Linked DNA regions of Arabidopsis thaliana. The protein of the gene in region 1 interacts with the protein of each later gene in a pairwise test. Each region holds a gene or a part of one and is shown in the gene's direction. Other genes may lie near its edges.

Region 1 (4,661 bases):
TAATGAAATGAATAAGTAATACATTGCTTTCTCCTATCATCTAATGGGTGGAGGGTCCAAACATGTGATTATCATAAAGTTGAGGTAATTATGCAAAGTAAAATTAATCTTACAAATAAAGACACTTAAAATAGTATGTTTGGAGTTTTGTTAGGTGAGATAATAACTAACGTCATATATGTTGTCACACATGTAATTTCAACAAATTTTTATTTATTATTCGATTTGGACCGATTATACTAAATTCAATTGCGTTTCGGTATTATTAGTCATGTGGTTAAAGAAAATTCCATGTGGTTAAAGGAAATTTTGTTTGGATCACAAAATATTTGGTTCAGTTTTTTTCCTTTTCTTATGTCTAATTTGAATAAAAAACAAACTCTGGTCTTCGATCTAAAATGTAAAGTTAGAACCTGAACTTTCTATCGTTCTCAAATACAATGATAGAAATCATGGCCAATCTTTTTGGTGCACACTCCATTGTCTGCACTCTGCACAGTAACTGTTACATCATGATTCATGGAATAGTATGTTTGAAATCTTTTGAGAGTTTTCGTGAAAATGGAAGAGACCCCGCTGGGCCGTAATTAATGGGCTTGAAATACGTCTTTGCTATGCTACGTAAATTGATGGACCTGGCTTTGCAAAATTGGAACCAACAAACAACTCTTTTTCACATATCCGTTTGTTTTAATTTTTTAACTTTTAAGTCTATGATCAGATTCAGATACACACATAATGTACGATCGAATATACTTACAACTTCTACATAGTAATATATGAGAACCGATCTAACTATATAAACTTAAAAAGTTATAATTTTACAGAAGAAGTATTAATAGCAAACAAGTGTTAAGTAATTAGGACTTAGCTTTAGATTCCATCACCTGAAAAGTGCGGTTGGTTGGCCAACAAGATATGCTCTGGCTCCCACCAAAAAGAAAAAAGAAAAGGGTTGATTTTGTAATAAAGCAAAAGGTTTGGGTAGCGTCAGAAGGCTTTGTCTACACACGCTCCACCACCAATCTCTTCAACTCGCTGATTCTCTAATATTTTATTTATTCTTTTTGCAACCCCAAAGTTTCTTTTTCTTTTGAGGAAACCCCCCCATACATTCTTCTTCTAACTTATGCTTTAATTTGGATATATATTCTTATTGAAACCGATTTATTTAAGAAGATTAAGCCCTTAAACAAATGTTTTCAAATTGCTATATAAAATACGCTTCCCCATGTTGTGTATTTCTTTTTTTTCTTAATCTTTACCATTTCAAAGCCGCCAACAAACAAAATAATTAACCAAAACGTGTTTGTTAGAATATAATCTAGAATATAACCCAAAATTATAAACTTTCGCTTTGGACGATGTTCATTGTGAATTCTAAATTCTTCATTGGTTTTGATTGTCGTCAACATATTTATATCATCATTTAACATTTGTTCGAGATAGTGTGAACACATAATTTTGGCTGTTCGTCTACAGTGTGAATACATGCCACATTGCCACCGTATTATTTGTATGTTATTTGTGACTCAACCAAGATTTTGTTTAGGTGCTGTTCCGAAAGCATCATCAAAAAAAAAAATGTGTACAAAGTTTATTAGGTTAGTTTTAACATAGCAATAACACTAAACTAAATAAACCTAAAATTAGTTTTATCACTAATTTTGATGGTAAAAAATAGGAGGCATGACGTCAACTTCTCCATTCTTAAATTCGATTTCTATAGAAACTTTTTTACTTCTACTTTTTTTTTTTGTTTTTTTACTTTTACTTGATCGAACAAAATAGTGTCGGAAAACAAACACAAATAAAATTTACAGGATGAAGAATAGAAAAAGAAAAAAAAAAAAGAAGCAAAAGAGAGAGAGAAGTGGAGAAGAAGATGGGTTTAGTGGAAATCATGTTGACCCCAAACAGTATCTGCTTCGACGTCACCTCTCACCTTATTCCTTCGATTCCCCATTTTTCACTTTTCTTATATTTTCTCCACCTCTCTGTCTCTTTTGCTTGCTTCCTATACACAGTTCTTCTCTGTTCCTCTAATCGGTAAGTCTTATTCTTCGATCCTCTGTTTATGATTTCGTTCACCTCAATTGCATTAGATGGAAGATAAGAAACTCGAAAATTTCGTCTTAATTTATTTGTTCCACTGATGATCATGTTGTGTGATTGCTTTCTTGATAAAGTATTGATTTTTATCTTTGTTTCTTGTTAGGGTTTGAATCTTTTCGTCAATTTCTATCTGGGTTTTGTGTTAATCGAAGGAATAAGTGAATCGTCGTCTTGGGTTTTCTCTATTTAGAAGAAAGCTTCCTCCTTTAGGGTTTCTGCATCAGTTATTGAATTGCTAGTTGTCGTTGAAGAAAGCAGAAATTGATTATAGTGTTGCTGATGGATTCTTGGAGCTACGGGAGAAGCGTTTTCATGTCAAATGAAACTCTTTTACCTTGTGATACTTTTGCTAAGAATAGAAGATTTGAACAGAGACTCTCTAATAATGATGATGTGTTGATTTCTGACATGGCTGGTAACTCCAATGGATTCAGTGCTGTTTCTATTACTAAAGTTGTTCCTGAAGAGGAAGATGAGGAGAACATATCTTCTTCTTCAAAGTTCTCTAGTCAGGAATTGAATAGGATAGATTTCAAACTTAGGAGCTTTTTGGATTTAGGAAATGATGATGATGATACATCCTCTAGAGGTTTTGCTCTGCCATCTAAAAAGTCTCGAGCTTCAAACTTGTGCTCTCAGAATCCCTTGTGTCAAGTTTATGGGTGTAGTAAGGATCTGAGCTCTTCGAAAGATTACCACAAAAGGCATAGAGTTTGCGAGGCTCATTCGAAAACTTCTGTGGTCATAGTTAATGGTCTTGAACAGAGGTTTTGTCAACAGTGCAGCAGGTTTTATTCTTTCTCCTCTCAAGTTGTCTCATGCTCTGTAGTCATTTCAATGTTCTTGATGGATCTTGATCGTTTGTTTCTTTTACCTTTTTCTTCTGTTCAGGTTTCATTTCCTCTCAGAGTTTGATGATGGCAAAAGAAGTTGCAGAAGGCGATTAGCCGGTCACAATGAACGAAGAAGGAAACCTGCATTCTATTTCCTACCGGGTAAGCGCCATAAGCTTCTTCGCACCTCTCAAGGTACTCACTCTCTGCCTTTTCCCTATCCATTGATGTATTGAATTAGCAAACTCGTGCAAATTTGAATCTATTCTGTATTTTATGATCTTCCATAGATGTAGTAGGCAACAAGTTTCTGGAGAATTCATCATTGGTATTGCCAGAGTCATTTCCTGGTAGTCTCTTATACAGAGTAATAGATGAAGACGACCACCGTACAAGTAGACTCGTGAGTTTCAAAGATGAACCTACTTGTTCCATGTTTCCTACTAATGAGCAAAACAGCAGCAGAACTTATGAATCTAAACCAGCAATTTATTCCACGGAAGTATCCTCCATTTGGGACTTACATGAGACGGCGGCATCACGCTCTACTCGTGCTCTCTCTCTTCTGTCAGCTCAGTCCCAACAACACTTGTCTAAGTTTCCAAACACAACGTTCTCAATCACCCAACCCAACCAAAATCTCAATCACTCATCATCAACTGACTATCATCAGATGGAACAACCGTTGTGGATCGATCCTGGCAAGACCAATTCTGCTGGTTCTAGTTCTTGTAAAGGAAAAGGAACATCCACGGTTGATCTACTGCAACTGTCATCACATCTTCAAAGAATCGAGCAACAGAGGAATTACACTGGTGATGTGAAGCAGGAATATAATGAGCTTTATTTCCCTGGCTCCTAATAAAAGGTTACAACATTCTTATTCCTTTAAACCGGTTCGAGTTTCTTGAGATTGTTCTGCAGAAGGACAAGACAAGCCTGCATGGCTTGATTAGTTTGTGATTAGATAGAGGAATTAAGAGGATCAGATCATGTTACACGTATTATTGTAATTTGTAACTGTTGTGTTATTATTCACCAGTCAATAATGTTCTGAAGAAAATTGCTTCAGATATCTATGCCTACTTCCTTTTCACAGCGTTACAGACAATTTGTATATATACATGTAATGAATATTCGCTGAAAAAGTGAATTTTTACTTTTGTTTTGTTTTGTTCTGTACACTCACGTCATCTGAGGACTGATCTGAGATTCTCGAGTTCGAAGTTACGATGTTGAAAGTTGCAAATCATTGGGGAAAAGAAAAAGTGTCCCAGATGGAATTAAGGAATACGCATATAAAATTTTGATAGGATTAAGACAAATAAAGACCAGACATAAACGTCCAAAGGGACATAGCAAGTGACGTTACTTTCAAATCTAAAGACAGACAGAAATATAAAGTCATAAAAACTAAGGCAACATCATTTTCTGCAACATGACATACATAAGAAAATTACACAGAAGAACAACACAAGATGAGAAAAACGACGCAGCCACTCGCACACGTGCATGCGTTTGTTATTTTTAGGCTTCTTTTCCCCTGAGTTTTGTTCACTTCTTCTCACCGAATCCCAAGCCCTAATTGAACAAAACATTTTAAATCTTTATATAATGTATATAAATATGTCCTTATGCAGACTTAGTTTGTATAGCTTACATGGATCATGTTGTGGCCTCCGGAAGTAATGGAAGTAGGAGAGTTGGGTATGT
Region 2 (3,080 bases), about 21 Mb from region 1:
TAAAATATCTTATGATTACTTTATATATTATTATTGTATGATTAGTGTCTTGAATTGTGTAACAGCCCATGATCTGACCGGACTAACTCGATGACTCCACACCAAAAACTTTTCTAGTTCGTTTTTCGATCTGCATTTGAAAACAATGTAGTATAGGAAGGCATGGACGATGATTTTATTTAAACTTGTTGTATGTTAATTATTAAAAACCACTTTATCTATACAATTATAGAGCGAGAGAGACATGGATTTAGGCGTCTCTTGTTATCTACAATTAAAACTTATCTCATGTCGTTTGATTTATTAATTAAGATCAATAGTGGGAAAACACCTAATTAATTAGTTTTTAAATGGACTTGATTAATGATTACTAGTTCATTTAGGAAACAAATAGGCATTGAAAAGGTATGGAGTAGTTATAGTCTTGTGGATTAGAGCCATATCACTCAATTAACACTCATCGGTCAAGTCTACACAGATCATACTTAATTATGAATGAAAAAAATGTAATTATTGACATTTCTCAGTCATATTTTTTTTTTCGATTTTATGTTTTTTTTTACTACTGGAGATATCACATGGTAGATGCAATGCTTGAAATTAATCTATATTTCAACTTAGTCGCCAATCATAAAAATTAAGACTTCTTGAATTAGAGCAGCAAGTGGAAACCCCACCTTGTTTTCGTTCCTTGAAATTTTCACAAACAATATAATTTTCCATGCCCAATAATTTTTTTTCCAGAAAAAGTGTTTGTTCTTGGTGAAGTGAATTAAGTACGTAAGGAATTACGGCAATATTTGTCTTGTATGATGCATATATTTATTGGCTATGATTAATTAACGGTTACTCACAAACACAAAAGAAAGAAAAAAGAGAGAGATATGATTACTACAGTGGTTTATACAGTAATTTATCTAATACGCGAAAAATATTTATGGTTGGTGATATGACATAAGACAATCATAGCTATTATGCATATTAGCATTATATATTTCAATAGTACTGTTAATTGTGGAGGCAATAGCTATTTCTAGTTAAAAATTGGATTTAAAATGTGTTATACGAAGTTTTCTATATAAATAAATAGCGTTTTATTTTTATTTTATTTAGCCATTTAAATTTATATATGTCATGCAATTGGTAGAGATATATATATATATATATATATATATAAATTTAATACTATTCCATCTGGTAAAGAAGTTTTTGTAATTTGATTATTCATCTCAAGTGACAAAAAGAAGGCAGCCACAAAAAATGCTAGAAAGTTATTGAAACGTGAGCGAACTTTTTCAACTCATATGCAACAAATAAAGTATAAGTTGGCTGAATTTTGGAGACATCTCATAAAACCATCAATCCACCAATCCACCCAAATAAAGTTAGTCCACCTAAACAATATTAACTTTGTGGTTCTACAAAAAAAAACAAAAGAAAAAATAAAATAATCTTAGAAACAATATATTTGTCGTATATATAATCAAGTAGATTATTTTTTTATACCATCATTAATTAATTATATTTATTTATACGAAATCGAGTATTACAAATCATCGTATTAGAACTTTCTGAATGAACTAATCTTTATGTATCTAATATTTTTACTAAAATAATGAATTATATTCAACACCATTTTCTACATAACTTTGCCTCCCTCCTCTATAAAACCCTTAGCCCTCTCTTCCTCTTACTTCAAAACCACTTCACACAACACACAGAACCCTCCCTCTCTAGCTCTAAAAACATCCCACAAACTATCTTTCAACAACACAAGACATATCACGAAACAAATCAAAGCAAAGATCATGAACACGATTCCAGCCGAACTCACTGGATACTTCCACTATCTACCACCAGATAAATATAATAACCAAACACCAATCATGGAGTCTGAGTACTTCAACATGCCCTCTTCTCCTACTTCTTGTTCCTCCTTCTACCACCTCAATGGTCTGATCAACAACAACAACTACTCTTCATCATCCAATGGTCAGGATCTAATGACGAGCAACAACTCAACTTCAGACGAAGATCACCAACAAAGTATGGTCATCGATGAGAGGAAACAAAGGAGAATGATCTCTAACAGGGAATCTGCTCGTAGGTCAAGAATGAGAAAGCAGAGACATCTCGATGAGCTTTGGTCTCAAGTGATAAGACTTCGCACTGATAACCACTGTCTTATGGATAAGCTGAACCGCGTATCTGAAAGCCATGAGCTTGCTTTAAAGGAGAACGCTAAGCTTAAAGAGGAAACTTCTGATCTCAGACAGCTGATCTCTGAGATAAAGTCACACAACGAAGACGACAACAGTTTTTTAAGAGAGCTCGAAGATTCGATATCAAACTCTAGATCGGATTCGAACCAAAGCGGCAGAGATTTTGAGTTGTGTTAATGATCTTGATCATTGTTCTGCTTATGTCAAGACTGTAGATTTCCTAAGGATCATACTATATTATATGATATAATATCATTAATAATGTTATTCTCTATCGAGAAAAAATATTGTTCTTCTATATCTTTTTTTCTTTTAGCCAACTTGAGTTAGTTAAGAATATTAGTGATGATCATGGACGTACGATAAATAGTATATTGTTCTCAATTTAAAGCCTTTTTCAAGCGATAAGTGTCCTAAAAATATGTATGAATCAAAAACCTACAAAACTCAAAATAACATTGAGTCAGTTCCAAAAAGATAAAAAAAAATTAGTTTCACGATCGATGTGAATTAATTCGCACTGGCAGAACAGGTGTTCCAGGTGACATCATTTTTAGTATTAATCAAGTCTGGTCGACATGAAATTTTAGATCAGTTACATGTAACTTTCAAGAGAATACTAAAGTAATGTTTTCGTTGTTTTATTTTATGTCCGTACTTCTCTTTATGTGTTTTTATAAGATTGCAAGAAAGTCTGCCTTAGTTACCAATAAATTTGTTTGTACCAATATGTTGCTGAAAGTTTTTATCAAAAAAAAAGTATATGTTGCTGAATTTCCAGGCGTCGAGTTTTTAATCATAAAATTCAAATGAATGATAAATTTCGATTATCAAAAATATTAAATGTATCGGTTCTTA

The links.
Region 2: the proteins of AT1G69170 (region 1) and bZIP58 interact in a two-hybrid assay, tested with the Arabidopsis thaliana proteins (one large-scale study listed by BioGRID).

The regions. Positions count from the first base shown.
Region 1 is NC_003070.9:26,003,232-26,007,892, forward strand, and holds AT1G69170 (Squamosa promoter-binding protein-like (SBP domain) transcription factor family protein), read left to right. Parts: upstream 1-1,836; 5' UTR 1,837-2,049; intron 2,050-2,218; 5' UTR 2,219-2,394; coding exon 2,395-2,903; intron 2,904-3,006; coding exon 3,007-3,143; intron 3,144-3,238; coding exon 3,239-3,810; 3' UTR 3,811-4,137; downstream 4,138-4,661. Other genes in the region: CRC (Plant-specific transcription factor YABBY family protein), read right to left, coding at 4,503-4,529, 4,609-4,661. UniProt on the Arabidopsis thaliana protein: Trans-acting factor that binds specifically to the consensus nucleotide sequence 5'-TNCGTACAA-3'.
Region 2 is NC_003070.9:4,650,106-4,653,185, reverse strand, and holds bZIP58 (basic leucine-zipper 58), read left to right. Parts: upstream 1-1,636; 5' UTR 1,637-1,808; coding exon 1,809-2,399; 3' UTR 2,400-2,580; downstream 2,581-3,080.